Lonchura striata: one gene and its partners. The main gene of each other region encodes a partner of the protein of the gene in region 4 in a complex. Links are inferred from orthologs where the notes say so. Each region holds a gene or a part of one and is shown on either strand. Other genes may lie near its edges.

Evidence for each region. The genes of interacting proteins can lie anywhere in the genome.
Region 1: KAT2A (region 4) and TADA2A share a complex: the UniProt entries of both Homo sapiens proteins name them as parts of the ADA2A-containing complex. The link is inferred for Lonchura striata from reciprocal best matches to the Homo sapiens genes KAT2A and TADA2A.
Region 2: KAT2A (region 4) and SUPT7L share a complex: the UniProt entries of both Homo sapiens proteins name them as parts of the STAGA transcription coactivator-HAT complex. The link is inferred for Lonchura striata from reciprocal best matches to the Homo sapiens genes KAT2A and SUPT7L.
Region 3: KAT2A (region 4) and SGF29 share a complex: the UniProt entries of both Homo sapiens proteins name them as parts of the ADA2A-containing complex. The link is inferred for Lonchura striata from reciprocal best matches to the Homo sapiens genes KAT2A and SGF29.

What each region holds. Positions count from the first base shown.
Region 1 is NC_134622.1:10,485,198-10,492,635, reverse strand, and holds the start of TADA2A (transcriptional adapter 2-alpha), read right to left. Parts: upstream 3,033-7,438; 5' UTR 2,977-3,032; intron 1,675-2,976; 5' UTR 1,456-1,674; coding exon 1,431-1,455; intron 760-1,430; coding exon 653-759; intron 1-652. UniProt on the Homo sapiens protein: Component of the ATAC complex, a complex with histone acetyltransferase activity on histones H3 and H4. Required for the function of some acidic activation domains, which activate transcription from a distant site. Binds double-stranded DNA.
Region 2 is NC_134605.1:6,407,866-6,415,709, reverse strand, and holds the start of SUPT7L (STAGA complex 65 subunit gamma), read left to right. Parts: upstream 1-4,812; 5' UTR 4,813-4,841; intron 4,842-4,875; exon of another isoform or gene 4,876-4,997; 5' UTR 4,998-5,227; coding exon 5,228-5,640; intron 5,641-7,844. Other genes in the region: SLC4A1AP (kanadaptin), read right to left, coding at 295-455, 581-720, 1,569-1,629, 2,370-2,492, 3,168-3,351, 4,046-4,567.
Region 3 is NC_134637.1:737,903-745,851, forward strand, and holds the start of SGF29 (SAGA-associated factor 29), read left to right. Parts: upstream 1-4,917; 5' UTR 4,918-4,954; coding exon 4,955-5,029; intron 5,030-7,447; coding exon 7,448-7,523; intron 7,524-7,604; coding exon 7,605-7,677; intron 7,678-7,949. UniProt on the Homo sapiens protein: Chromatin reader component of some histone acetyltransferase (HAT) SAGA-type complexes like the TFTC-HAT, ATAC or STAGA complexes.
Region 4 is NC_134627.1:6,426,586-6,433,580, forward strand, and holds the start of KAT2A (histone acetyltransferase KAT2A), read left to right. Parts: upstream 1-3,960; coding exon 3,961-4,188; intron 4,189-4,728; coding exon 4,729-4,852; intron 4,853-4,932; coding exon 4,933-5,078; intron 5,079-5,450; coding exon 5,451-5,540; intron 5,541-5,666; coding exon 5,667-5,848; intron 5,849-6,423; coding exon 6,424-6,615; intron 6,616-6,688; coding exon 6,689-6,795; intron 6,796-6,934; coding exon 6,935-6,995. Other genes in the region: HSPB9 (heat shock protein beta-9), read right to left, coding at 683-1,267; heat shock protein 30C-like, read left to right, coding at 2,311-2,919. UniProt on the Homo sapiens protein: Protein lysine acyltransferase that can act as a acetyltransferase, glutaryltransferase, succinyltransferase or malonyltransferase, depending on the context.

The DNA of each region.
Region 1 (7,438 bases), on a different chromosome or scaffold from region 4:
CTCTCCAACCCCCTTTGTCATTTCCCTGTCCCGGGTGGGCTGGTCCCTGCTGGAGAGAGCAGAGGTGACTGGGACAGCCCTGGCTGGCTCCCTCGGGGCAGTGAGAGCTGTGCCCTGCTGCTGGACCCTATCCCAGATTGAAAGGCAAGACGTGCTCTATTGCCATCTCTATGGCATTGCCTTCTGTTCATTGGGCAGTTTTCCTTCTTTCTTCCACAACCAATCCTCTCTCAGGGGAGACATCTGCTGATAATGGGCTACTGAGTTAAAACATCCCATTGTGAGATGCTCCACCCAGAGGGAGGAGCCAAGCATTCCTACCTGGATATAATCTGTGTTTTTGGAACACCAACACAGGTTTTTCTAATAGATTCCCAAAAGGAACAGCTGGGGTTTTCCACTGGAGCTTCAGAGGAAGACTCCATCCTTCTACAGGATCCCTGCTCTGACAGAACCACCCCTGCCACTCCAGGGACTGCAGCCACTCCAATTTGGACTGCCACCAACACGCTGTCCAAAAGGGTGTCAGGTTGTGTTCTGACTCTGCCAGTGGTTTTCCTTTTGTGTTATTGCATGGATTTTGTTTCTTTTCCCTTTTCCTAATAACCTGTGTTTGTGACTTGGGAGTCTCTCAATGGTTTTGCTTTCTCACCTGCAGGCACAGCAGGAAGGGAGGGGGCCCACACTCAGCACACTTCACGTAGGGCTCCGTCAGGTACGAGGAGCAGCCTCGGCACGGGGGCTTATCAAAAGGGTCACCTGGGAAAACCACAGGAAATCTCCTGTCACACAAGCACAGCACTGCTTTGGCAGCCCCTAAATCCCCCTGTGCCCAGCCCCGGCTGCTGATGGTTCTTGTGGGCCCAGCTCAGGATGTTCTGTGATTCTATGGATTTTAAATGAACTCAGTTGTGCAACGAAATTAATATGACTGTCAGGTTATAATGGCTTCAAACTCAAAGAGAGCAGGGTTAGATTGGAGAACTGGGAAGAAACCCTTCCCTAGGAGGGTGGTGAGGATGCCCAGAGGAGCTGTGGCTGCCCCTGGATCCCTGGAAGTATCCAAGGCCAGGTTGGACAGGGCTTGAAGCACCCTGGGACAGTGGAAGGTGTCCCTGCCATGGCAGGGGTGGCACTGGGTGGGCTCTGAGGTTTCTTCCAACCCAAACCAGTCTGGGATTCCATGATTCTGACTTTTTCCAAGAAAATGGTTTTGAATCAGTTCAATTATAAGTAGAGAAAAATAAGGCAAAAGTCAGACCGAATAATTTTTGTGAGCACTACACCACGTCCCCAGAGTGCCACATTCGCTCAGTTTTTGGCCCCTTTCTGGGACAGTGACACCGAAATCCCACTGCTCCAAGGAATCCTTGTGCCGTGCAGGTTTTCCAGGAGCAGACGTGGGAGCTGGATTCTCTGAAGGCACTTACTGCTGAAGGAGGCCAGGCGCTCCATCCCTCCCCCGGCGCTGCCTGCTCCCTGGGTAAAACCCGGCTGGGAAACGCGCCAGGAGCGTCAGCCTTGTCCCACACCAAAGGGAATTATCCCAAAGGGAATTCTGCCTCTCCCACAGCCCTCGCGGCTCTGATCCTCCCAGGATGTCCTGAGCAGCAAGCAGAAGGGCTTCAGCAGCCGTCAGAGCCCACTCCACACGGATCAGAGTCCCTGCTCTGGCTGTGGGGGGAATCCGACAGGAGGTGTGGGGTGGTGGGGATGTCACCCCGAAGCGAGCAGAGTTATGAGCAGCTGCTGCGCAGGGAAGTGCTCTGCACCTCCCAGAGGCACTCCCCGCATCCCACTGCCCGTCCCAGTTCTGAGTCCCTCACATCCCAATCCCCATTCCCCATATCCCACTTCCCCATATTCCACTCCTCACATCCCAGTTCCTATTCTCATTCGCATTCCCAGTCCTCACTCGACCATATCCCAATTCCCACTCCCCCATATCCCCATCTCCATCCCCATATCCACATCCCTGTTCTCATCCCCATATCCCCATACCCATCCCATCTCCATATCCCCATATTCCCATCCCAATCCCATCCCCATTCCCATCCCCATTCCCAATCCCATCTCCATCCCAATCCCATTCCCATCCCCATATCTCCATATCCCCATTCCCGTTACCATCCCCGTTCCTACCCCCGTTCCCATCCCCATATCCCCATTCCCATCCCCATATCCCTATCCCAATATCCCCATTGCCATATTCCCGTTCCCATATTCCCATTCCCGTTCCCATCCCCATATCCCCATTCCCATTTCCATCCCCATATCCCCATCCCCATATCCCTATCCCCATATCCCCATTGCCATATTCCCGTTCCCATATTCCCATTCCCGTTCCCATCCCCATATCCCCATTCCCATTTCCATCCCCATCTCCCCATTCCCATCCCCATATCCCCATTGCCATATTCCCGTTCCCATATTCCCATTCCCGTTCCCATCCCCATATCCCCATTCCCATTTCCATCCCCATATCCCCATTCCCATCCCCATATCCCCATTGCCATATTCCCGTTCCCATATTCCCATTCCCGTTCCCATCCCCATATCCCCATTCCCATTTCCATCCCCATCTCCCCATTCCCATCCCCATATCCCTATCCCCATATCCCCATTGCCATATTCCCGTTCCCATATTCCCATTCCCGTTCCCATCCCCATATCCCCATTCCCATTCCCATCCCCATATCCCTATCCCAGTATTCCCATTCCCGCTCCCGTCCCCAATTCCTCTCCCGCCCCGCCTGTCCCTCTCCCCGTCACCGCCAGGCGGCGCCCCCGCCCGGCCCCGCCCCCTCCGGCCCCGCCGCGGCCCGCGCGCTCCCGGCGCCCCCCCCGCTGCCCGAGCCCCGCTCTGCGCGCTGCCCCCGGCCCGGCCCGGCCCGGTCCCGGTCCCGGTGCGGCCCGCTGGGGGCGGCGCGGGGAGCCGGGGGTGGTGGGGGGGGGGAGCCGGGGCTCGCCTCTCACCTCGCTCGGCGCGCCGGGTCGGGCCCGCGCGCGCGCGCGCGCTCCCGGGCCCGCCGTGCGCACGCGCCGGGGCGGGGCGCGCGCCCCCTGGCGGGACCGGCGCGCGCCGCAGGGGCCGCGCCGCCCCGAGCGGGGCGAGGGGGACCGGGAGCGAACCGGGCCGGGACCGGCACCGGCACCGGCACCGGCACCGGCACCGGCACCGGCACCGGCACCGGCACCGGCACCGGCACCGGCACCGGCACCGGGGCTGGGCAGGAACCGGGCTCGCACGGCCGGTGCCGCTGCCGCCCGGGGTCCCGCGGGGAACAGCCCCGGACCCCTCTGACCGCCCATCACCGGAGCCCCGCTCCTTCCCGGGGCGGCTCGGTCACCGGAGCCCCGCTCCTTCCCGCAGCCTCCCCGGCTCCTGGCGCTGCCCGGCCCTCGGGGTGGCGAAGGGCGGATTTCCACGGGGAAAGGGCTCCCGTGGCACTGCCGTGTGAAGCAGCTACGGGAGGAACTGGTCCTGCGGGGGATTAGAGCTGGATGTAACGGGGAATCCCGGAGTGGTGTGCGTGGGGAGGAACTTCAGCATCACCCAGTGCCACCCCTGCCATGGCAGGGACGGATTCCGCTGCCCTTGGACACTGCCAGGGATGTGCAGCCTGTGCCAGGGTCTCCCCACATCTCCTTCCCGATATTCCATCTAACCCTGGCCTCTGGCAGCCTGAAGCCATTCCTCCTCGTCCATCCATGCTCCTTGTCTGAACTATTTACCAACAAGATTAAAAATGCTGGCAGTTATTCCCTTTTTCTTTTGCCCAGGCACGTGCAAAAAATGGGAAAAAAAATTGAGGATTTGGGAGAGGCAAATGTACGGAATGTCAATTAAATGTTTATTGCTTCTGCTAACAGGTTTTTCCTGCATCTGGGAATTAGGACTCTGGGTGGTTAATGGAAGGAATCAGCATGTGGGAATCTGGTTCCTGCTGTTCCCAGGAAAGGTGATGCATCTGCAAGGTAAGAATGCTGTCCTGAATCCTGCAGCTTTCCGTGGACTTCAGATATTTCAGTGTTGAGGGTTTTCCTGTTATGCCCCTGGCATGGGAGTGAAAAAATATTTATGAGGAACATTGAAAATCCGTGGAGTCTTACAGGATTTTCAGGCCAATGTTTTAGTGACACGGTGTCTCCAAAACCACAGCCTCCTGATGGCTCCTGGAGGGAGCAGTGACAGGAAAAATCTTTTTTTCTGGAGCCTGCTCCAGTGGTTTCCAGCTCAGCAGAGCCCTGAAGGTGCCCCCAGCCCATGGCTGCTCCATGGCACGTGTGAAACGGCTCCAAAGGGTCTCAGCTCAGCTCCCAAAACTGCACTCCAGGAAGATCCAAGGGGATATTCTGGAATGAACTAAGTGCTCACACGCTGCTACTCAGAGGTTTTAGCAAATGAAGCAATTTTCATTTGCTGTTTGAGATTATTTGCTGGTAATTTCTGCTCGCCTGCAGCCCAGTGCGGGAGTGCAGGCTGAGCCCCAGGTGAAACAGTGGTTTTGGGGCAGAAATCAGTGGGAGCATTTTCAGGCCTCTCCCTGCCCTTGGTGGGATTTCTGGGCGCTGTTGGGTGGAGTTTTTTTGTGGCGTCGGCGTTTTCTGCCTCGGACACACGGTGGCGATGGGAATCGCCTTTTCCTCCGGAGCTTGGGGCTTGCTCGGTCACCACACGTGCTGTGTGCCCCCGGGAATGGAAGGATGAACCATTTCTGTTCAATCCCAAATAACCGCTGACATTTCCCAGCGGCCGAGGCTCCAGAGAACCCACAACGCTTTCTCAAAAGCGCTGATGTTACTTAAATGAAAATGTTTATGTTGAAAACAAGAGCCAATGGAGCCTCGAGGGCTGGTGTTTTGCTTTAAAAAGTGATCTGACCTTTCTCTCCGTTCCTTGGCTGCCAGGACACGAGTGGTGCCAGGCTGGCAGTGTCACCGACCCCCTCACCCGGGATGATCTGTCCTGTGTTTGCACTGGGGGTGTCATCAGAGAATGGTCAGGAGAGGTGGAACCAGCACTTGGCGTCACGAGAGGTAAAAACATTTCCCCTGTGTGTTTTGGAGTTTATTTACTAAGGCTAAGCTTCCTGTTTTTGAGAGAACGCAGTGGCACGAGTTCACAGTGCACATGCTTGGGAGTCATGGAATGAGAGTAAATAACCGTGTCCAGCTTTGGAGAGGGACAAGAAAAGGATGTCAGGTGCATTTACCAGCCCCCCTCCAAAGCAGAACGTGGGTATGATTCAAACATTTAAAAGACAACAACTGGAAAGTTGTTTGAACCCTGTGAAACAATTAAAACGCAGATTATTCCTGCCCAGACTTGAATCCCAGGATCGTTATGTTGGAACAGACCTCCCAGATCATTGAGTCCAACCTGGCTTCTCACCCAGCCCAGAGTAGTTTAATTTCATGGAATCTCCTCAGTTGGAAGGGACCCACAAGGATCAGCCTCACTTTCCTCCAGCTGATCATTCCACGTGCCCCCAGCCTCTCCTCACATGCCTTCCCCTCCAGACCCTTCGCCATCTCCATAGCCCAAAAATGCTCCTTCCAAATCCGTGCTGGACTTTTGGGGTGAATGTCTTTAACTTGCTCTTTTCCACGTGTTCATGCCTCTCTTTGCCCTTGAATGGAGGAGGTGCTGCAGGATTTCAGTGTGTGAAGCAATCCCTCCCCCAGCAGTGTTTGGACAGTGTTTGCAGCTGGATGGATGCGCTGGGCTGGGCAGGCAGAGTGCAGGTGCAGGTTTTAGCAGGCCTGGAGCTCTGGGAACAGCAGCCAGGATGAACTCAGCAGCTGTTGTAACCTCCTGGTTTGGTAAGTTCTGTGTGTAGTTATTATCAGTGGTTTGGGACCAGCCCCTCAGCAAGCCAATCACTCCCCCTCACTTCTGCAGCAGCTGGGATTTAGCACTGGAGACCATTAATTAACACCCAAAACCTTCTCTTCAGCTCCTTCCTGAAGCACTCAGAGGAGGGTTGTTTGTGTGAAATACACATCTATATCTATGTATTTATCTCTACAGCAGTATAAATAAAAGTGTTCCTGCCCAAAGTTTCCAGATTTGGTCCAAGTGGATGTGAGAATATGGTCTGTTCCCCCAATAATTTTATTAACTACAAGCCCCCAAATTGGCTTTTCTGGGTATTTCTTGCCTGCAGTGGGCACCCATGCCACCAGGTGCAGTTTCCTGCAGTCTCACACCTTCTAACCACCGCCTTGGTGGAAATTCTCTGTATTTGGGAACAGTGGATCCTTGGGGTCCCTGCAGGATCAGCCTGCACAGGTCACCACATCGAGCACTTAAACTTGTGTTACCCGTTCCATTTGTACTTCAGCAGCCCTGTAACAGCTCGGAGCTCAAATAAAACACAAAAACGTGGAAAAAGGCTAGCGGGGTAGTTCTTTAACCCATTGTCCGTCGGCAGAAGGAGCAGCTGAAGGTCAGAGAGGAGCAGGAGGGGCAGTGGCAGTGCCAGCCCTGCTTGGCCGTGCCCTCAGCACCTGTTATCAGCCTGTGCTCCCTGGCAGTGCCCGGGGACAGGCCGGTGTCCCCGCGGGCAGCGCGGGCAGCGCACGGCACGGGCCTGCTGGATCTGCAGCAGGGCACTCCTCTCCTGCCTGCTCTCTGCTCCCGTGCCCTGCCACCTGCGCAGCAGAGCCCTGCCTCGTGTTCAGGTGTGCGGCGGGTCCTGCCTGATTGCTCTTGTGCTGTTGGTGCCACCGAGAAGAGCCCGGTGCAGCTTGGCCCCCCACCACAGACACCGATGGGCGCCGGGGGGCCCCTTGGGGCACCTCGCCTCCAGGCTCAGCAGGCACAGCCCCCTCGGAGGGTTTCCCTCCCAGCAGCGATGCTCTGGTCCTGGGGGTCCTGGGATTCCCGGCTGGCCCGGGGGTCCCGGCTGTCCCAGGGGTCTTGGCTGTCCCGGGGTCGCGGGGATCCCGGCTGCCCCGGCTGTTCCGGGGCTCGCGGGGGTCTCAGCTGTTCCGGGGGTCCAGGCTGTCCCGGGGGTCTCGGGTGTCCCGGCTGTCCCGGGGGTTCCGAGGTCCCGGGGGTCCTGGCTGCCCCGGCTGTCCCGGGGGTCCCGGGTGTTCCGGCGGTCCCGGGGTCGCGGGGGTCCCGGGGATCCCGGGTGTCCCGGGGATCCCGGGGGTCCCGGGGATCCCGGCTGTCCCGGGGGTCCAGGCTGTCCCGGGGGTCCCGGCTGTCCCGGGTGTCCCGGCGGTCCCGGGGTCCCGGGGATCCCGGCTGCCCCGGCTGTCCCGGGGGTCCCGGGGGTCCCGGGGATCCCGGCGGTCCCGGGGGTCCCGGGGATCCCGGCTGTCCCGGGGGTCCCGGGGATCCCGGCTGCCCCGGCTGTCCCGGGTGTCCCGGGTGTCCCGGGGGTCCCGGGGATCCCGGGTGTCCCGGGTGTCCCGGGGATCCCGG
Region 2 (7,844 bases), on a different chromosome or scaffold from region 4:
ACTGAACCCTCCAGCACCTGTTATCCCTCACAACCTACTGTCTTTGCAGGATTTATTGTTGTCATATGCCTGTCAATCCAAGATTCTTATTCTTTGAAGGAGAATGAGATATTTCTTTAGGATGTGTCCTGTGGACTTAAAAGCCTGGAATTATTTTCCAGTTATTTAAAACTATCCTGTTTTGGCATTTCCTTCATCCACTGCCATAACCCACTAAGATTTCTTCTTAGTCATAATATAATATAATACAGACATGAGAGAGTAACCCTGACATGTCATAACAATTGTTCTTACCAGGGAGTCATATGTCTCTGGTTTTTCTTCTATTTTACCAGCTTTCTTCATTCTATTCAGTCGTTTCTTTTCCACAGCACCAGTTCGATCGAGGAAGGTGTCATCATCACTGTCATAAAAGTCCTCATCTTCCCAGTTCTTTGATTTCCTTTTTCGGGATACTGAGAAAGGCACAGGAGAAGGCAAGAAACAAAATGATTTGCATATCACTCAGCAATAAAGCAAATTCGAGATCGCAATCTCAAATGCCTAATTTAGGGCATTTAGAATGATCAGAGTTATTCACCTGCTTCTTGCCTCAGTACTCCTCGAGCATCAAGCAGCCTGCAAGCTTCCAGTGCACATTGTATCATCGCTTCCTTCTTTTTTCCTGAATGGAGAACTTCTGCCACTAGCTGCTTCCCTGATGCATCATCCACAGGCAACCTGATCAGTTTGAAGGATCAGAGAACAGCTCAGATACAAACAGCTTTTCAGAGATGCTACTCAGATATTTTACAATGGCATTGCCATTTCATTTTAATCTTTTTGTGCGTCAAATTTTTCCACTTTTTATTTCATACAGAACCAATCAAAAGACAAGCATGATTTCCTAGTCATGTAAGTCAATTTGTATTTCACTGGTCCAAACAGTAATTTTTCCTCTATTTATTCCATTAGAAATACAGAAAGTTAGAAGGTTAAATGTCAATCCCTGAATCATTTTAAGTACTGGTATCTTGTATTCATACAATGTGGGTAACAAATAATTTCCATGACAAAGCAAAGGATTTTTTAAGCAGTACAATCATTACTATGTTGAGACTTGTTGACTTAATTTCCACCTCACCTTCTCCTGTCTTATAAATGAATTACATTAGTGGCCTCTAGCAGGAACCCCTCAAAAATTGTCTTATACCATACAGGAACTGAAATTGGACAAACAGTAGAATTAAGTTTGGGGTTTTTTTGGATCTTTCTCATTAGGAATTGAAAGAGATTGTTTCCTAGTTTCTTCTCTTGTATTCCTATTTTACATACTGGGGAGCTGAAAGAACCTAGATCCTTGCTTTCCCAATTTTCATCCCCTAGGAAAACCAAATATTGTAAGAACAAAAAAGGATCATAGACACTGAACTAGGCACTGATCCTTGAACCTCTGTCTCAGTATCAGGGCTTAAATCTAAATTTAACTGGCTTCCTTGCCAAGTGTGACACAACAATTAATTCCTTCAGTTTTGTTTGCAAATTCAACAGTCACCTTCCATGTACCAAAGGAATGGAGATGTACATACTTGATCCTGCACAGCCAGCTGTTGTGCCCACGATCATCATACTCATATTCTAACTCTTCTCCTAGAAAAGAAAATAAAATTGATGTGGTAACCAAAATTGAAATAAGCAGGAATAACCTTTACAGCAGGGACATTCTTCAAAACAAAAGGATTAACAAGCTCTTGCTGCATACCATGATTTTGCTTTACTTATGCTGATTTGGGTTTTTTCCTAAAATCAAGGCTTTTTCAGACCAGAAAATCTTTAAGTGGCCTGTTTAGGAACATGCAATTCAAAGAAAAACCAATCTTGTCTCTGTATGCGTGAAAGTATATGATGCTGAAGCAACAACAGATTGCAATCTGAATTCACAGATACTGTTTGTCTTCAAGGTTGCTTTTTCACTTCAACAAGTAAGTGAATATTCTTTAAGTTTCACTAGCAACCACTGAAACTTTAGACCACTTAATTATTGCCTTTTATCTTTCTTAAATTTTTCCACGTAGCTTCAAAGCATGGGTGAAGTTTGAGTGTCACTCCAGAGGATACAAGCTGAAGAATATTCCAGAATATAAACTACTCACTGCAGTTTAGGAATTAGTAACTAAGACTCAGATGTACAACGGTGAGCTGAGTTTTAATGAAAAAAACCCAAAACAAACCACTACAAATCCCCACCAAAACAATGTAACCCACAGTGTAACAGAAAGTTTTGCTCCCACATGACACTTTATATCCCCCTGAAACATAAACAACAAAGTAACACTAGGCTGAGTTAAAAAAAAAAATCACATTTAATAAAAAAAAGAAAAAAAAACTACCTTCTCTATCAAAAAAGCCCTGTAAGGCCTTCCTAGGGTCTTTCATATAAAAGGCATCTTGAACATCCTGAAAATCAACAGCAATAGGGTTTTCTTCAACCTCATCCTCCTCAGCATCCTCACCTAGAAGACATCAAAATTCCAAAAAAAAAAACCCATGAAACATGAGAAAGAGAACACCACCATATTTCAACTTTCATTAGTTTGAAAGAAGTAGCAGCTACATCATAAAATTACTTCCCTTAAATGTATTATTCCTACACCCAATAAAAAAAAAATTTGCTATTAGTTATTCCAATATACTATTCAGTTTTGCAAATCAATGTCAGTCTCACTACTTTCAAAGGTTTATAACCTTATACGTTTTAACTCAAAAAAGCCCAATTAACTTGCAAAAAGCTCATTAATTATAATTTATCTAGCCTCTAATACGTGGACTTGCTGTTTAAATGCAAAGACAGCTATACTGCATAGAAGTCTCAAGCAGCAAAATTTCACCTCTTGGGCAAAAGTGTGGACATCATCACAGAGGCAACCCAAAGAGCATTAATTAAGCTCTAAGTTTCATGGCTTTTAATAGGTATAGGCAAATTACCTCCTGCTGTTTAAAAGGAGCTCACTATATGTTAGCTTGTCACATACCCTTCGTTTTAGCAGCAGAAAGATTAATTTGTACTCAAAAACTTTGACTGGATTGTGACTCTTGGTAGCCAGTTGGAATATTAACCCTAGTATTCAGTGAAAATGCACTTACAGACCTTCTAATACATATCAGTCAATCAATACATCCTCACTTACCCATGCCCCATGAGCAGCTCATATCACTATTCTGACTCCTTTCATTTCTCTCCTCTTTCTCATCTTCCTCATCAGAGTCCTCTCCCAACATTGTCTTTTCTAATTTTGCTTGTTGCTGCTTGCGTAGTGCCTTCAGTTCAGTCACAGTTAGCTCTGACTCAGACTCCTGGTCCTCTTTGGGTCCCTAAGTCAAAACAGAAAATTAGCAAAAGTGTTTTTAAAAAAAACCCAACAAGTATTTCCAGCACACATGCAGGGTTACATATAATAACACATTATTACATATAATAGGAACATCATTACACCGCTCTTCAAAAAGTGGACTTATTTGACTATAAATGGTTTGCATTCCAAAATGTATTAGCTTTAATGGCATTTTCAAAAGAAAGGCATGGAGAAATAAACATTGTAGTGTACTTGCAGTCAGATCCATCTCACATATAACTGTAATTAAAAGGCTAAAGGCAAAAATTCACGTCAGAACTACACGGGTGAATCTGAGGAACAAGCAGGTTCTCAAGCGCGTGTACAACACACAATGTGCTGCCCAAGTCCCTCCTAACAAACACTCCCCTTTTTCACAAAGAGATATTAGTTCTTTATTTATTGTGGCATCATACTGTCAGAAAGACATTCCTAATACATCACACTTTGGAGATCACACTTTTGCACACACAGCACATCACTGCAGCCCCACACCTCACTGCAGGGCCGGCAGCAGACAGCCACAGCTTTTCTCCCGGTCAAACAACCACGGCAGCGCTGGGCTGCTTCCAAACGGCCTCACACCTCATGGAGCCGGGAAAACTCCCGAGCCTGACCCGGGCCAGCCTGTACCACCCCGCACACGCTCCGGAGCCGCCCGAGCCCCGACGCACCTGCAGGAGGAAGAGGCGGGAGCTGCCGCCGAAGCGCAGCCCGTGGCCCACCCGCACCCGGCAGTAGGTGCGGGGCGGCACCCGCGCCTTGTTGAGGAAGGTGCCGTGGGTGCTGCCCAGGTCGTACACGTAGAACCCGGCGGCATCGGCGCCGCCGGGGGAGCAGCCGGCGCCGCGGTACTGCAGCACGGCGTGGTGCCGCGACACCGACGGGTGCTCCAGGGACACGGCGCAGCCGGGCAGCCGCCCCACCAGGAACCAGCTGCTGTCGTCCAGCCGCACCGAGCCCAGCGCCACGCCGCCCTTCAGCACCTCCAGCCCGTACCCGGAGGCGGCGGGCGGCCGGCTGCCCCACGGCGGCTCCTCGTAGCGCGGCGCGGGCGGCGCGGCGGCGCGGGGCGCTCCGGGCGGGCCGGGCCCCGGGTCGCCGGGCCCGGGGGCGGCGGGCAGCGGGCGGCTCGGGCGCTTGAAGGCGGCGGGCTCGGCCTCCGCTGCCATTGCCGCCTCTGCCTCCTCCGCCATCTTCCCCGGTCCGTCGCCAAACGGAGTCCGCCGGGAACGAGCGCGGCAGCGCCGGGGGCAGCGCGCAGCTCCCGGGGCCGCTCCGCCGCCGCCCAGCGCGGCCCGGGGCAGCGAGGGGGGCGAGTCAGGGAGGGCGGCGGGCGAGGCGGAGGCGGCGGCAGCGGAGGCAGCGGCGGCGGGCGCTTCCCTCCTCCGGGCTGGAGGAGCGCGGGTGGCGGGGGAGCCGCGGTGCTGGCGGACCGGGACGCACTTCCGGCAGGGAGCGCACCGCAGGGTAGGCGGGGGCGGGCAGCCGCGGGCCTGGGGGGGAAAGAGGGCGAGGGGCGAGGGCGGCCCCCGCTCAGCGCGGCCCGGGTGGGTCCACAGCAGCCCTTGTTACACGCAGAAACGGCTTCACGATCGCGTTTGTTTGTGCCCCTTCTCCCCCCAGGAAAAGCCGCGGTGCGATCTATAAGCTGCCGGAGCGGCGACCCGGGGCTGCCGAGGACACTGCGCTGCTCGGCGCGGCTCTGAGCCACAGCGGCTCGGCAGCCGTAACTTGAGGCGGCTGGAGCGGCGTCCCGGCTCCTGTGTCTGCTGCTGCCCGAAGTGCTTTTCCCCGCAACAAGCCTCCTTTGTACCCGCAGTACTCTGGGTTCTGAGCGCGACCTATGCGTAAAAATGTTGCGGTACTGGGGTGAGATCCCGGTTTCCTCCAGCCAGGCCAACCGCAGCTCCTTTGACCTGCTGCAGCGCGAGTTTCGGACTGTGGAAGTGCAGGATCCGCCGCTGCACCAGCCGTCCGCGAACAAGCCCCGGCCCACCACCATGCTGGACATCCCCTCCGAGCCCTGCAGCCTCACCATCCACACCATCCAGCTCATCCAGCACAACCGGCGGCTGCGCAGCCTCATCGCCGCGGCTCAGGCTCAGAACCAGCAGCAAGCAGAGGGCATAAAAACCGAAGAGAATGAGCCTCTGCCATCTTGTCCTGCCTCCCCACCTCTCCCTGATGACCTGCTTCCTCTGGATAGCAAAACCCCCAAAATGCCATTTCAGCTGAGGCACAGTGACCCAGAGAGTGATTTCTACAGGTGTGTTGGTGTTTCTTTAGGTTAGTTCTTGGCCGAAAGAAAGCTGAGTGTTCTAAAATATCTATGTAGCTATGTTCATTCCCTTAGGCTAAAGGGTCAAGCTGTTGTACGTAAAGTATAAAACAGGCTTTAGAAAGGTAATACATAGATTTTTTTCTATGTGAATAACATGTATATTGCTTGCTTTTGCTTCTCTCTGTAAAATGTAGAGGTGTGGTGCTGATTTCTGTCTTGTTAGTGCTATGCTAAATGTGTATGCATGGTTTTGTTAGTGGTATTTCAACAGTTTCAGTTACAGGATGTGAAGTCTCTTCTGTCCAGATCACTTACAACTAAAGTTGTGTTACTATAGTTGCAAATCCAGAAAACACATGCCTAGGTTTAGGCTGTTGAGCTGTAGGTTCTGAAAAGATGATTTGATAATGTATTTGTCAGATTTCGGTGGTCAAGGACCTGTGACACAGTGACTGTCATATTCCACCGGTTTGGTGGTCCTCGAGTCAGAGCTGGAAATGCACACAAGTGAAGGGAATTCTTGTCTCTGCTACTGGCTCCACCAGCTGGAGAAAGTGTAAAGAAAATTTGCACTGCTTCTACCTCTGCTGCCAGCCTTTGATTAAAGAATATTGCCACCACTGCCTGTCTATCCCTCTACAGGCACTAAGTTCACAAGGAGCTGTTGCATTTCTTGCAATATCTGACAGTACTTTGTAGGTTATGTGCATTTAAATTAAGGGATTAATCCTTGCTACTGTGTCCACTAATTAACATTTTGAGGGAAAGGATAACACATGCTAGTTTTTAAAATGGTAAATATGCATCAATAGAATGTAGTTTATCACTTTAGTGCCACTGAAATCTTTAGTGGCCTGAGGTTGTATGAAATGCATTTTATTGAAAGATGTTGCATTTGGTAACAGTGTCTCTCGGAACAATGGAATGATTCTTTATTGCTGTTTCTGGAGGAACACTATCATCCTTATCAGAAGATACAACGTAATTAGCAGAGAGCAGACACTGAAGGGAAATAGGGTTTTGTGAGAGTAATCAGAGCCTCTGACTCCTGCACTGTGGTCCTGTGGTTTGTAGAACTGAGAAGTGTTCTCTTCTGTCCTCCTCAGTGGCTTCAGCTTGAAATTTTTTTCTATGGCTCTGGCCATCTTTTAGGGGCTTCTTTGTCTTTTTGTTATTTCTTCTGAGTTTTTGGGGTCTGAGTAAAGAAATGTTATTTAGTGGTCAGCCACATGGGGGAGTGTAAGGACTACGTTGTGGAGACTGGAGAGTTTTGAAATGAAATGTTTTGTGGCTGACAGAGTGCATTTATAATGAGCTGCAGTGTATTCTAGAATTTGATTGTGTGCTTGCTAACCCAAACATATATATGCTTTTCCAGGGGGAAGGCTTTGAGTTGTTGCATGTTTCTTCCTACTGTTTTGAGACATGTGAATTAAGAATAGCAGCTGTTTTATAAGTGCTATATAGTAGCAAAAATGAAGTTCTATGATTTGCTGATGCTTCTGAGTGTGTAAAATCAAATCAAAGCAAGAACATTCTTCCCCCTAATAAAACATGCTAGTGCTTAATTCTGTGCTGCCTTCTGAAGTACAGTTGTCAGAATTACAGTGTTTTGATAAATCCATATTTTAAGTCTGTTTTTTTGGTCAGTATCCTGGGTCTGAGAAGTAGTGCATAGGTACATTTAGATACAGGAAGAAAGGAAGATAAGAGTTGCCAGCCTGAATCAGAACACAGGTTTGGTTAATGTAGGCCTGACCTTTTCTGTTTCCCTGTTACTCATTTTCATTCTTTGACACACTGTCCCCTTGTCTTTTATTTTGTTATCTCCTGATTTGGTTTTCCTCAGCCCCATATATAAACCCTACCTCCTTGTATGATGAGGAAGAGGCAGAGTTTAATTTATGGCTATTTTTGAGTTGGTTTGGTCTTATCAATTCTCCAAAGTCTGTACTAACAATGGTTTTATAATTACTGCACTGTTCCTTTCCTACAGTTTTCCAGACTATTTATAAATATGTTAAAAATGCATGATAAAAAATATGTTGATTCTGGCACAGATCCCCCAGGGAGGACCTGGACTCTAGAGTAGAGATCTCTGTTCTACTTGCTTGCTGATAGATTTGGAGGACTCTGATAGGTTTGTGAAGCAGGTTTTACAGTTAAAAAAAATTCTCTGGGTTCTTTCT
Region 3 (7,949 bases), on a different chromosome or scaffold from region 4:
TTTTTTTCTCTAAAATCTGCAATTTTTCCCAATAAAAATTCCCTTTCCCCTCTAAAATTCGCATTTTTCCCCATAAAAATTCCCTTTCCTCTCTAAAATTCGCATTTTTTCCCCATAAAAATTCCCTTTCCTCTCTAAAATTTTCAATTTTTTCCCCACAAAAATTCCATTTCCCTCTAAAACTCACATTTTTTTCCCCATAAAAACTCACTTTTTTCACCCCAAATCCCCTTTTACCCCCCAAAAAATTCCCCTTTCTCATTTCCCCTCCCCAAAATCTCCATTTTCCCCCCAAAATCCCCTCCCTGCTTTAGCCCCGCCCCATTTAAGCCCCGCCCCCTTTAAGCCCCGCCCCTTTAGGCCCCGCCTCTTTAAGCCCCGCCCCTTTAGGCACCGCCCCTTTAAGCCCCGCCCCCTTTAAGCCCCGCCCCTTTAGGACACGCCCCTTTAGGCCCCGCCCCTTTAGGCCACGCCCCTTTAAGACTCGCCCCTTTAAGCCCCGCCCCTTTCTCACCTGTCGGGCAGGTACGGCCCCACCAGGGGCAGCAGCAGCTTCACCACCAGGGCGGGAACGACGTCGGCCAATAGGACGGCCTGAGGGGCGGGGCCAGGCCACGCCCACTTAAGCCACGCCCACTTTAAACCCCGCCCAATCACAATCCGGCTCTCCAAAGCCCCGCCCCTTTTAGCCACACCCAAACCCCACCTATTTAAGCCCCGCCCACTCAGTTCACGATATTTTAAGCCCCTCCCACTTAGGCCCCACCCATCTAAGTCCCACCCCCTTAATCCACCCTTGTTAAGCCCCACCCCCTTAATTTCCAATAATTTAAGCCACGCCCACTTAATCCACACCTCCTTAAGCTCCTCCCACTTAAGCCCCACCCCTTTCGATCCCTGTCACTTTAAGCCCCGCCCATTTAAGCCCCGCCCATTTAAGTCCCACCCCTTCAAGCTCCTCCCATTTAAGCCATGCTCATTTAAGCCACGCCCCTTTAAACTCCACCCCTTTAAGCCCCTCCCATTTAAGACACACCCATTTAAGCCCCTCCCACTTAAACCTCCACCCCTTAAAGCCTTTGCCATTTAAGCCCCACCCCTTTAAGGTCCTCCCACTTAAGCCACACCCCTTTATGTTTTCCCCCTTTAAGCCCCGCCCCTTTAAGCCCCTCCTATTTAATTCCCATTATTTAAACCCCACCCATTTAAGCCCCGCCCCTTCAATCCCCTCCTATTTAAATCCCATTAATTAAACCCCACCCATTTAAGCCCCGCCCCTTCAATCCCCTCCTATTTAATTCCCATTCATTAAACCCCACCCATTTAAGCCCCGCCCCTTTAAATTCCACTCCTTAAGCCCCGCCCATTTAAGCCCCACCCATTTAAGCTCCACCCATCAAGTCCCTCCTATTTAATTCCCATTATTTAAGCCCCACCCATTTAAACCCCGACCCTTTAAGCCCCTCCTATTTAATCCCCATTATTTAAACCACGCCCATTTAAGCCCCGCCCCTTTAAATTCCACTCCTTAAGCCACGCCCATTTAAGTCCCACCCCTTAAAGCTCCTCCCATTTAAGCCACGCCCATTTAAGTCCCACCCATCAAGTCCCTCCTATTTAATTCCCATTATTTAATCCCAACCCATTTAAGCCCCGCCCCTTTAAGTCCCTCCTATTTAATTCCCATTATTTAAACCACGCCCATTTAAGCCCCGCCCCTTTAAATTCCACTCCTTAAGCCCCGCCCATTTAAGCCCCACCCATTTAAGCTCCACCCATCAAGTCCCTCCTATTTAATTCCCATTATTTAATCCCAACCCATTTAAGCCCCGCCCCTTCAAGCCCTGCCTATTTAATCCCCATTATTTTAACCACGCCCATTTAAGCCCCGCCCCTTCAATCCCCTCCTATTTAATCCCCATTATTTAAACCACGCCCATTTAAGCCCCGCCCCTTCAATCCCCTCCTATTTAATCCCCATTATTTAAACCACGCCCATTTAAGCCCCGCCCCTTAAATTACCATCCCTTAAGCCCCGCCCCCTTAAGCCCCACCCACCCCGGTCCCCACAGGGTCGCAGTCGTGCCGGCTCCGATTCCGTGGCTCCTCCCCCTAAAAAACCCCGGGAAAAATCCCAAAAAATTCCAGTCAGAAAAGGGGCGTGGCCACCCAAAAAGGGGGCGTGGTCCCCCAAAAGGGGGCGTGGCCACTCACAGGGCGTGGCTCCAGCAGGTCGCGGGCGGCGCTGAGCATCACCACGTACGGGAGGTTGTTGCACAGCCCCAAAATCCTGCGGTGGGCGGGGCTTAAAGGGGCGTGGCCACGCGGGGGGCGTGGCCACGGGTGGGCGTGGTTTGCCGGGAAAAGGCGTGGTTATGGTGGAAGGGGAGGGGCTAAAACGGGGCAGGTTTGGCGGGAAAATTTGGGGGGTGAATGGGTGTGGTCAAAGGGGGCGGGGCTTAAGTGGGCTCAGTTTTTGCGGGAAATTTTGGGGGTGAGGCTGGGGGCGTGGTCATTGAGGTGGGCGTGGTCACAGGTGTGGGGGGTCAAAATGGGCGGGGCTTAAATGGGTGGGGTGCCCCCAAAAATGGCTCAAATTTGGCGGGAATTTTTTAAACGGGGGAGGGGCTAAAAGAGGTGTGGCCACATGAGGGTGTGGTCCGAGTGGGCGTGGCTTAAATGGGTGGGGTGCCCCAAAAATGGCTCAATTTTGGCGGGAATTTCTCAAATAGGGGAGGGGCTTAAAGGGGTGCGGCCACATGAGGGTGTGGTCCAAGTGGGCGTGGCTTAAATAGGTGGAGTGTCCCAAAAATGGCTCAATTTTGGCGGGAATTTATCAAATAGGGAGGGGCTTAAAGGGGTGGGGTCACGACAGGGTGTGGTCCAAGTGGGCGGGGCTTAAATGGGTGGGGTTCCTAAAAAAAGGCTCAATTTTGGCGGGAATTTCTCAAATAATGGAGGGGCTAAAAGGGGTGTGGCCACATCAGGGTGTGGTCCCAGTGGGCGGGGCTTAAATGGGTGGGGTGCCCCAAAAATGGCTCAATTTTGGCGGGAATTTCTCAAATGGGGAGGGGCTAAAAGGGTGTGGCCAACCAGGGTGTGGTCCCAGTGGGCGGGGGCTTAAATGGGTGGAGTGTCCCAAAAATGGCTCAATTTTGGCAGGAATTTATCAAATGGGGGAGGGGCTTAAAGGGGTGTGGTCACACCAGGGTGTGGTCCAGATGGGCGGGGCTTAAATGGGTGGAGTGTCCCAAAAATGGCTCAATTTTTGGCGGGAATTTATCAAATGGGGGAGGGGCTTAAAGGGGTGTGGCCACACCAGGGTGTGGTCCAGATGGGCGGGGCTTAAATGGGTGGAGTGTCCCAAAAATTGCTCAATTTTGGCGGGAATTTCTCAAATACAGGAGGGGCTTAAAGGGGTGTGGTCCAAGTGGGCGGGGCTTAAATGGGTGGGGTTCCTAAAAAAAGGCTCAATTTTGGCGGGAATTTCTCAAATGCGGGAGGGGCTTAAAGGGGTGTGGTCAAAGTGGGGCGTGGCTTAAATGGGTGGAGTGTCCCAAAAATGGCTCAGTTTTGGCGGGAATTTCTCAAATGCGGGAGGGGCTTAAAGGGGTGTGGCTACACCAGGGTGTGGTCCAAGTGGGTGTGGCCTAAATGGGTGGGGTGCCCCAAAATGGCTCAATTTTGGCGGGAACTGTGGGGTTTTTAAGATGTGGGAGGGGCTTAAATGGGCGTGGCCACCCAAAGTGGGTTTGGTCCAAAATGGGCGGGGCTTAAATGGGTGGGGGTGTCTCCAAAATGTGTTAAGTTTTGGCGGGAAATTTTAGGGGTTTAGAGATGTGGGAGGGGCTTAGGGGGCGTGGCTTCTGGTGGGGGCGGGGCACTCACCAAAAAGCGGCTCCGATTCGCCAGGAGGAGGTCGGAGGGGGCGGGGGCCGGGGCGGAGTCTTCATCTGGGAGGGGGAGGGGAAGAGAAAAGTTTCCAAAAGGGATTTTGGGGCAATTTTGGGAGATTTTGGGGTTGTTTTAGGAACTTTTGGGGTTGTTTTTTCCCATCCCGCTCCCCACTCCCGGTTCCATTTCCCGCCTCCATTCCTGTCCCTTTATCCCCGTTTTAATTTTAGGTTTTTATCCCGAAATCCCGATTTTTAACCTCATTTTTAACCCAGATTTTTTCCCCTCTCACCTTCCTGCAGCAGCGGTTCCTCATCCGCCATGTTGCACGCCGGTCATGTGACACCGCCATCACGTGATTTTCCCAAACTGAATCCCCATTGGGAGCTGGTGGGCGTGGCTTTGAGACAGAAAAATCCATATTAATGAGCGTAGGGCGTGGCTTTGCATTGAGTTCATTCATAAAAAACCACTATTGTGGGCGTGGCTTAAGAGCTCATAAATAATAATGCCACACACGCGCTGATTTGCGCCATATATGGTTAAAAGGGCGTGGTTTTCACCATATATGGCGCGAAATGCGCGTGGCTTAAGAATTATAAATAATAATGCCACGCAGGCGCGGCTTTGCACCATGTAAGGGTAAAAGGGGCCTGGTTTTGACCATATATGGCGCGAAATGCGTGTGGCTTAAGAATTATAAATAATAATGCCACGCAGCCGCGGCTTTGCACCATATAAGGGTAAAAGGGGCGTGGTTTTGAGTATATATGGCGCGAAGTGGGCGTGGCTTGTGTCCCCTTTCCTCCTCTTTGCTGCCCTGAGTTTAGGCGCGGGTTTGCGCCATATAAGGGAAGGGGGCGTGGTTTTGACCATATATGGTTCGAAGTGGGCGTGGCTTTACCAGCTCCCCCGAGCCTGGGCGTGGTTTTGCCCATATATGGTTCGAAGTGGGCGTGGCTTACGCCCCCCTCCCGCTTCTCCCCTGAGGAGGCGCCGCCATTTTCTCCCCCCGCCGCCATTTTCTGCCCCCCCCCCCCCAATCCCTGTTTTTCCCCTCATGGCGCTCGTCTCGGCCGATTCGCGCATCGCGGAGCTGCTGGGGGAGCTGCACCAGCTCATCAAACAGACGCAGGTACCTCGATTTATTTAGTTTTTTTTTTAGGATTTTTGGGGTTTTTTTCCCCCCTCGGAGTTTCCCCGTTTTGCAGCCCCGGGTCCCGTTTGGCCCCGAGGGATCCTCAAGGGTTTCGGTGTTTTCGAAATCTTTCCGCTCAGGAGCCCAAAATCAACAATTCCACCCCAAAATCCATTTTTTTTCCCCCTCGGGGATCCCAAAAATCATCTATTTCACCCCAAAGATCACCAATTTTACCACAAAAATGACCCATTTCCCACCAAAATCACCAATTTCATCCCAAAATCAACTTACTTTTCCCTCAGGGATCTCAAAAATCACCCATTTCACCCCAAAAATCACCTATTTTACCCCCAAAATTACCCGTTTTGCCCCAAAATCACCAATTTCATCCCAAAATAAACTTTTTTTCCCTCACGAACCCCAAAAATGACCCATTGAACCCCAAAATCAGTTTTTTCCCCTCAGAGATCCCCAAAATCACACATTTCTCCCCAAAATAAACTTTTCCCCCCTCAGGGGTCCCAAAAGTCACCCATTTCACCCCAAAATAACATATTTTCCCCTCACTGATTACAAAAATCATCCATTTCCTCCCAAAATTGACTTTTTTCCCCTCAGGGATCCCCAAATTAACCCATTTCACCCCCAAAACCACACATTTTCACCCCAAAATCAAAATTTTCCCCCTCACAAACCTCAAAATCACCAAATTCACCCCAAAATCAACAATATCACCCCAAAATCAGCTTTTTTTACACTCGGTGATACCAAAAATCACCAATTTCACCCCAAAATCACCAATTTCACCCCAAAATCACCAATTTCACCCAAAATCACTTTTTTCTCCTCAGAAATCCAAAAATCAGCCATTTCTCCCAAAATCAACTTTTCCCCCCTCAGGAATCCCAAAAATCACCAATTTCACCCCAAAATCACCCATTTTACCCCAAAACCAACTATTTTCCCCTTCACAAACCCCAAAAATCCATTTCACCCCAAAATTATCAAACTTACCCCAAAATCAATTTTATTTCTCCTCACAGACCCCCCAAATCACCAATTTCACCCTAAAAATCGCCCATTTCACCCTAAAAGCAACTTTTTTCCCTCTCAAAGACCCCAAAAATCAGTCATTTCACCCCAAAAACACCCATTTCACCACAAAAATCACCCATTTCACCCCAAAATCACCCATTTCTCTCCAAAATTAACTTTCTTCCCCCTCACAGATCCCAAAAATCACCATTTCACCCCAAAATTAAATTTTTCTCCACTCAGGGATTCCCAAAATCGCCCATTTCACCCCAAAATCACCAATTTCATCCCAAAATATATTTTTTCCCCTCAGGTATCCCAAAAATCACTAATTTCACCCCAAAATCAATTTTATTTCTCCTCACAGATGCCCAAAATCACCCATTTCACCCAAAATCACCTTTTTTCCCCTCTGGAATCTCAAAAATTACCAATTTCACCCCAAAAATTGTCTATTTCACCCCAAAATAAATTATTCCCCCTCATGAACCCCAAAATCACCCATTTCACCCCAAATTCAATTTTTCTTTCTACTCACGGATCCTAAAAATCACCCATTTCACCTCAAAATCAACTTTTTTTTTGCACCTTTCACCTTTTTTTCTTCATTTCCCGCTTTTTTCTCATTTTCCCCTTTTTTCCCCTTCTTTTTTCTTCATTTTCCCCTTTTTTCTAATTTGCCCCCTTTTTCTCTCCTTTTTCTTTAATTTCCCCCTTTTTCCCTAATTTTACCTCTTCCTTCTTTTCTTAATTTCCCCCTATTTTTTCTAATTTTCCTCCCTTCCCCTCCTTTTTTCTCTCATTCCCCCCTTTCTCCTCATTTTTCTTCATTTTCCCCCTTTTTCATTCCCCCATTTCTCCTCCTTTTTTCTTTAATTTCCCTTTTTTCCTTATTTTCCCCTTCCCTCATTTTTTTTAATTTCCCTTTCCCTCCTTTTTCTTCATTTCCCCCTTTTTTCTTCATTTCCCCTTTTTCTCCTAATTTTCCCCATTTTCTCCTCATTTCCCCCTTTTTTCCCTATTTCCCCCCCTTTCTTCTCATTTTCCTTAATTCCCCACTTTTTTCCTAATTTCCCCCCTTTTTTCCCCTCCTTTTTCTTTTTCCCTCAATTTTTTCCTAATTTTACCCTTTTTTCTTCATTTGCCCCTTTTTCCCTAATTTCCCCCCTTTTCCCTCCTTTTTTCTTCACTTCCCCCTTTTTTTCCTAATTTCCCCTTTTCCCTCCTTTTTTCTTCATTTCCCCCTTTTTTCCTAATTTCCCCCCTTTTTCCTCCTTTTTTCATAATTTCCCCCTTTTTTTCCTGATTTTCCCCTCTTTCCCCCCCTTTTTCCCTAATTTCCCCAATTTTCCCCAAATCCCCAATTTTCCCCCTCAGGAGGAGCGCTCCCGCAGCGAGCACAACCTGGTGAACATCCAGAAGACGCACGAGCGGATGCAGACAGAGAACAAAAGTAAAAAATTTCCCAGATTTAAAGGGAATTTTGGGGGAATTTTGGGGCTTTTCAGCACATTTTGACCCCAAATTCATTTAGTTTCCCCCTATTACCGCACCAAGCTCCGAGGGCTCTACACCACAGCCAAGGCTGATGCCGAAGCCGAGTGCAAGTGAGTCCAAAATTCTCATTTTTAAACCCAAAAATCTCAAATTCCTCACATTCCCACTTTATCCTTCAAATTCCCATTTTTTCTTCAAATTCCATTTTATCCCTTCAAATTCCTATTTTATCCCCTCAAATTCCATTTTTTTCCCCTTCAAATTCCATTTTTCCCCTTCAAATTCCCATTTTTTCGGCAGTTTCCCACTTTTTCCTCACAGTTCCCTCCTTTTTCGTCCAATTCCTCCTTTTCCCTCACAATCCATTTTTCCCTCAAACTCC
Region 4 (6,995 bases):
GCTTTAGCACAAACAGGCGTTCCTGCCTGCATACCTGCTGCCTGCCCACACAGCTGCTGCCTGCCCGGGCCTGAGCGCGGGTGTTTGTGCTGCTTATGCACCGCACCCGGGCTTGAGCTTCTCCCTCCTGCTGCTGGGAGCTCAGGGATGACTCCAGCAGCCCCTTGCCAAGCTGGGAAGGGGAAAGTGTGATACAACCACCTCACACCACACCCTGCCAGGCAGCTTGTTGTGGTTCCTTCTCTATTGTGTGAGGATGGGTATTGGCTGTGGAGCTGGAGATGACGCTGGCAGCATTGTGAGAAAGGGGTGAGGGCACCCCAGCTGCTCCTGTACAGGGGAATGGGACTGCCCTTTCTGCCTGCCTGCCCCCCTTAGCAGCAAAGTGCCCACAGAACCCTCTGGGTCTGCTGTCTGACCCCATTTTGTGCTGCCCTGAAAAGCAAGAAGTTTTTCCCTTTCTGTGCATCCCATTCCTCTGGCACCAAGAGCAGGGCGCAGCCTGCCCATCAACACCCAGAGAACACAAGAAGATTCAATGCAAAAGGATTTTTATTGGATACAAAAACATTCCAGTTTAGTGAAAAAAATGACATCATTGCTGATGAAGCTTGTCTGGGCTTAAACCCGAGACTTGCTCCTGTCTGCTCCGGTCCTGCCGTGGCCATGGGGTCCCATCCTCTCACACCTGGGCTTTGTTGGTGGCTCCCTCCTCAGAAGCTGCTCCGGTCTGTGGGGCGGCGGGGCTGACCTGGATGGGCACGCTCCTCTCGGGAGCGGCCGGCAGCGCCAGCTTGGGGGCCTCGATGCGGAGCTGTCCTTCCTTGGACAGGGAGCAGGTCAGCGCCTCGGCATCCACCTCCTCGGGCACGTCCCACTCCCGCTTCAGCACCTCGTACTTGTAGGAGAAGGAGCCCTTCTCATCAACATTCTGAGTCTCCTTCTGCCCCACCAGCACCACCTTCCTGCCCACCACCTTCACCGACAGCTCCTCGGGAGCGAAGTTCTTCACGTCCTGGCAGACAGAGAAGCCGTCCCCAGAGCTGTGGGTCAGGGTCATGCTGGTGCTCGGGGTGTGCTCCGCGGCGATGGCTCCGTGGTTGCTCAGGAGCTGCTCGAAGCTGCTCATGAACTCCCGAGCTTTCTCCATCTCCTGCTGCAGCTCGGTGAAGATGGTCTCTGCGTGTGGCCAGAGGGTCCTCACTGTGCCCAGCCGGCTGGCCAGGGAGCTGGAGGCGAATGGTGCGAGGTGCATCCGGCAAAGCATCGCTGCTGCTGCTGCTGCTGCTGCTGCTGCTGCTGCTGCTGCTGCTGCTGCTGCTTCTGTCCCGTTTCCAATGGGCTGGAAGCGTTCTGCCTCGCTGCTGCCGTCCGAGGCTTTTATAGCCGTTCCCTGGAGGCGTGGCTTTGTCCCGCACATTACATCACCCTCGGGAGAAGAGCTCAGCTCTTTCCAGCCCGTTCCAGCTCATTCTTGTTACTCACCCGTGAGGAGTGGCACCGCTGACGTCGTGCCCGGCATACCTTCGCCCTGACTCTTACAGCTCTGCTCTCCTGGCTTATAATTAGCAGCATCACCTCAGCCTCCGAGCGGGATGCCTGAGCCACCCTTGCCAAAAATCTGTGCCCTTTGCTTTTCCCAGGCATGGAGTGAGTCTGGGCTCATCTCCTCTCTGCCTCCCCCCACCCTCTGCTGTGTTCCATTTCTCCCCGTCTGTGCCCAGGGGGGTCCCCTCAGGTGACACCAGAAGTCAGTCCGTGGCCAGTGGGGTGCACAGTGAGGTGCTGAGGGGTCAGGACAGGATGGGGGTGGCCGAGAGGGAGAGGGGTCCCAGAAAGTGAAAGAAGTGCCAGTCAGTAGATGACCCAGGGCATGTACTTCAGGGGTGGGACTAATTCCTGTACTGGCAGAAGTGATGAGCTCCTGGCACAATGGATCCTGCCTCCTCTGAACCCCCGGTGGGGGTCCAGGGAGGGGCTCTGTAGCCCCCCGGCCATGGCCCCACGGGCCCTGCTGCATCACGATGGCTCTGCAGAAACCTGAGCTCCCAGCAGTGACTGCGGCTCCCTATTTGTGGTATGTGACCTGTCCCCAGAAACAGGCGCTGCTATTTTGGCTGGTGGATAATCAGCCTCTCAAAAATAGGCGATGGCTCCAGGACGCTGCGTGGGGAGAGAGCGTTCTGGAAGGGACACACCCCTGGGCAGGGGAGAATAAAATCCGCTGCTCCCCTGCCCCAGCCCAGCACGGCTCCAGCCATTGCACCGAGCAGAGCTGCAGCACAGCCAGGAGCGCCCCTCGGAGCAGAGATGCTTTGCCGCCTGCACTTTATGCCGCCCATGTCCAGCTCGCTGTTCCCGTGGCTGGGACCCGTCCGCACCCTCTGGCCACATCCAGGCACCCTCTTCGCCGAGCTGGAGCGGGAGATGCGGCTGGAGATGGAGAGAGCTCGGGAGTTCATGAGCAGCGTGGAGCAGTACCTGAGCAGCGGGAGCAGCCCCGGCCGGCTCGGCATCGCCTCGGAGCGTGCGGCCAGCACCAGCGCAGCCCTGACCCAGGGCTCTGCGGACGGCTTCTCTGTCTGCCAGGACGTGAAGGACTTTGCCCCCGAGCAGCTGTCGGTGAAGGTGGTGGGCAGGAAGGTGGTGCTGGTGGGGCAGAAGGAGACGCAGAGCACAGACGAGAAGGGCTCCTTCTCCTACAAGTACGAGGTGCTGAAGCGGGAGTGGGACGTGCCCGAGGAGGTGGATGCCGAGGCGCTGACCTGCTCCCTGTCCAAGGAAGGACAGCTCCGCATCGAGGCCCCCAAGCTGGCGCTGCCGGCTGCTCCTGAGAGGAACGTGCCCATCCAGATGGGGCCGGCGGTGGCACAGGCAGCTGGCAGCACTGAGGAGGGAGCCGAGCGGGCCAAGGCGTGAAGAGGAGCAACAGGGACCAGGCTGAGCCTGGCTACGGGGGCAGCTGCTGGCCGCAGAGCGGGACTGTGTGATGGCCCGGGGGGGTGGTGTCTGCCCAAAACATGCGGCTTTTTTGATATGTAATAAATATTCCTAACTTTTATTTGTGTGTTTTTGGTGTTTCTGGTCTTGCCCAGCCCTGTGCTTTGCAACTCTCCTGCCTGTGCCCACGCAGCGCGATGGCAGGGTGGGAAACGGGGCTGTGCTGGCACCGGCAATGTCCCGGCATCTCTCCGCAGCTCTGCCCTGGCAGAGGAGGTCGGGCGAGGGGCTCCGGACCGTGTGCAGCGCTGAGAATCCCCGGCAGGTCCCGAGCATCCCCCGGGTAGCTTTCGGACAATTGCCGCCCATCTTTGGGATGCTGCTGGAACCCTCCCGCGCGGTGCCCGCGTCCCCCGTGCCGCACCACCCCGCCAGCGCTGGCACCTTCCGGGCGCCGCCCGCCGCTCCGCGCAGCAGCGGCGCTAATCCGCTTCCCCCGCGCCGCCGGCGGGCGCGGCCTCTCAGCACTGGCCGTGCGGGCGGAGCCGGCGCTCCGGTACCGGCCGGGAGGCGCGGCCACGCTCCGCGCCGGCCGCTTGGCTTGGCCGCACCCCGTGCCGCCCGCGAGAAGGCGGAGGGCGGGTCACACACCGCATTTGGAGAAGAGGGCGTGGCCGTGCTCCATATTTGCGGGAGTCAGCGGAGCGCGGAGCGGTACCGGTTACCGGAGGGGTGGGACGGCTCCTCCGGGCACCGGCGGCTCGGCGTCGCCCCGTGAGAGGCTGTCGCGGTGTGCCGTCATGACCGGACCTCGATGCTCTCCGGACGGTTCACGCCACGCGCGGTCCCGAGCGGGAGCTCTGCTCCCGTTGGCAGAGCGGGTGACGTGAGGCGGCCCCGGGAGCGCCGTGCCGGGAGCAGCGGCCGCGCCTCCCCCGCCGCCGCGGACTACAGTTCCCGGCGTTCCCCGCGCTCCCGGCGCGCAGGCGCGCTGCGCGCGGGGCGCACGCCGGGCCCGGCATGGCGGAGCCGGAGGCCGCGCAGCCCGGGCGGCCCCCGCCGGGCCCCGGGACGGCAGCGGCGGGGACGGCGGGGGCGAGCGGGGTGGCGGCTGGAGGAACGGGATCCAGCGACCCGGCGCGGCCCGGGCTGAGCCAGCAGCAGCGGGCGAGCCAGCGCAAGGCGCAGGTGCGGGGGTTCCCCCGCGGGAAGAAGCTGGAGAAGCTGGGGGTGTTCTCGGCGTGCAAGGTGGGGGACAGCGGCACCGGGAGGGCGGGAGGGCGGGAGGTGGGGTTCCAGGCTGTGCATGACGGCGGGATGCGAGGACGGGCACGGGTGGGGTTGCAGGAGGGATGCAGGGGATACAGGAGTGGGGGGTCAGTGCTGTGCATGGGTGCGGGATGAAGGACGAGGATGCTGACCTGAGTGCGGGATGCAAGCACGCTTATGGGTGTAGGAGAGGAATTTAGGGATGCAGGAGGGTGAGTGCAAGGAATATATGGACAAAGGATGCGGGATTGGGATGTACACGGGGTGCAGGACGGGGTGCTGGGCTGTGTGCAGGCAGGGGCTGCAGGAAGAGAGTGCTGAGTTACCCAAGGGAGGTGCAGGGATGTCACTGGGCAGGGGCTGCAGAGTCCTGGGGTGCACGGGGGAGTGTTGGGGTGGTGGGGGCTGAGAAAACAGGTAGGAGGGAGCCAGGGAAATCCTTTGGCCACAGAAGGTGGCAGCCTCGGCGTGTGGTGGCGCGTGGGCCACAGCAGTGACCGCTGCCGTCCCTCTTCCCAGGCCAACGACGCCTGCAAGTGCAATGGCTGGAAGAACCCCAACCCCCCCACAGCCCCTCGAATGGACCTGCAGCAGCCGGTGACCAACCTGAGTGAGCCGTGCCGGAGCTGTGGCCACGCGCTGGGTAACTCCCCTGGCACCTCCCGGGCACGCCGGGCACGGCGCTGATCCCTTGGTCTCACCGTGGCTTTCTCTCCGGCACAGCGGACCATGTGTCTCACCTGGAGAACGTCTCAGAGGAGGAGATCAACCGTCTGCTGGGCATGGTGGTGGATGTGGAGAACCTCTTCATGTCGGTGCACAAGGAGGAGGACACGGACACCAAGCAGGTGTATTTCTACCTGTTCAAGGTGCGTCTGGGGGTGTGCATGTCTCACTGCCCCGCTCGTGGGGGCACTTGTGCAGAGTTTCTGGTCATTGTTGGGGCTGCTGTCCCACTGCTTGTGCTCTGTTGGAGCTGGCACTGAAGCTGGGGCTGTGAACCATCCCACAGCCCAGAGACCTGGAACGCTGACCCTTTTCTGGAGTGACTGCTCTCCTGGCCTTGGATTCCCCAGGGGGGCAGTTCTGGGGGATGAATGGGTATGCTCCAAGGGCAGCACCGGTGCCTTCCTGGCTCTGGAAATTGGAGCAGCCCCATGGTGGCATTCATTCACCTCCAGCATTCCTGGAGCATCTGGTTCCTGGGACTCTTTTGACCGTGTCTGTTGGTGTCTTTGTAGCTGCTGCGGAAGTGCATCCTGCAGATGAGCCAGCCTGTGGTCGAGGGGTCCCTGGGGAGCCCTCCCTTTGAGAAACCAAACATTGAGCAGGTGAGGCTGCTGTCAGGCTGGTGCACTGACTTGTCCTGTGTTCTGCTGCTCTTGCACGGTCCCCTCACTCTGGCAAGGCCCCAGAGCAGCCCCTGGCACCTCCCCACTGTGCCATCCTCTCCCCAGGGAGTCCTGAATTTTGTGCAGTACAAGTTCAGCCACTTGCCGCCCAAGGAGCGCCAGACCATGTATGAGCTCTCCAAGATGTTCCTGCTGTGCCTCAACTACTGGAAGCTGGAGACACCGTCCCAGTTCCGTCAGCGCTCCCAGAATGACGATGTGGCCACCTACAAGGTCAACTACACCAGGTGAGGGCAGGGGGCCATGGAGCCAGCCACCCTGGGGTCTAACTCCCAGGGTGTCTCCCAGACTGTAAGTCCACTAGGACAGCAGGCACCCAGTGGTGACGTTCCCCCCCTCACACAGCCCCCTGAATATCAGACTAGCCCAGAGGTCCGAGGCTGTGTGGGGAGGAATATTAGGAGATGACAAAGATTTCCAAAAGAGGCTCTTACCCCAATATACGTTGGTTCAGCTCTCTTTATTCTGTGATGCTCATGGGGAGAGCGGGGCAAAAAAGAACGAACAGGAGATGTCAGGGGTTTATCCAGGCTTTGGACAGGGTGGGCTTCCCTGGCTCTCTGCCAACCCCGTTGGGGCAGGAAGGAGGGGTCTGGGGTTATCTTGATCAGAGTCACAGGGTCCCGGGGAAGGGGGCACAGAGTGCCCATGAGCTTACTGTAACACAGTAGGGCCAATGCTTCTAAATGCCACCCGTGCCCTTCGTCCAGCCTGCTCCCAGCAGCACTGTCCCAGCAGGGATATGGTCACTGTGGGCTCCCTGGTTCCAGCCCTGTCTCCAGAGCCCTTTCCTGTCCCACAGGTGGCTGTGCTACTGCCATGTGCCACAGAGCTGTGACAGCCTGCCCCGCTATGAGACCACCCACGTCTTCGGGCGCAGCCTCCTCAAGTCCATCTTCACGGTGACCCGCCGGCAGCTGCTGGAGAAGTTCCGGGTGGAGAAGGACAAGCTGGTGCCGGAGAAGCGGACACTGATCCTCACGCACTTCCCCAAGTAGGTGCTCAGTGTGGAGATGGCTGCTGGAGCACTGAGGGGACTTGCATGCTGATGTGCCACTTCCTTCCAGGTTCCTTTCCATGCTGGAGGAGGAGATCTACGGTGAGAACTCTCCAATCTGGGAGGCTGATTTCACAGTGCCAGCTGCGGAGGGTGCCCAGCTGGTGTCTCGCCCAGGTATTTCAGGAAGCAGCTCCCTCTGTTTGGAGGGTTGAGAGATAAAGGGTGAAGGTGTGGCAGAGCAGTGGCAGTCCTGGGCTGCCGTGGCGTGATGAGGCATTTTCCAGCGGTCATGGGCACCGTGGGTCTGTTGCAGCTGCAGTCAGCACCGTTGCTGTGCCCACCACTCCTCTCTTCAGCAAGAAGCTTAGCAGCAG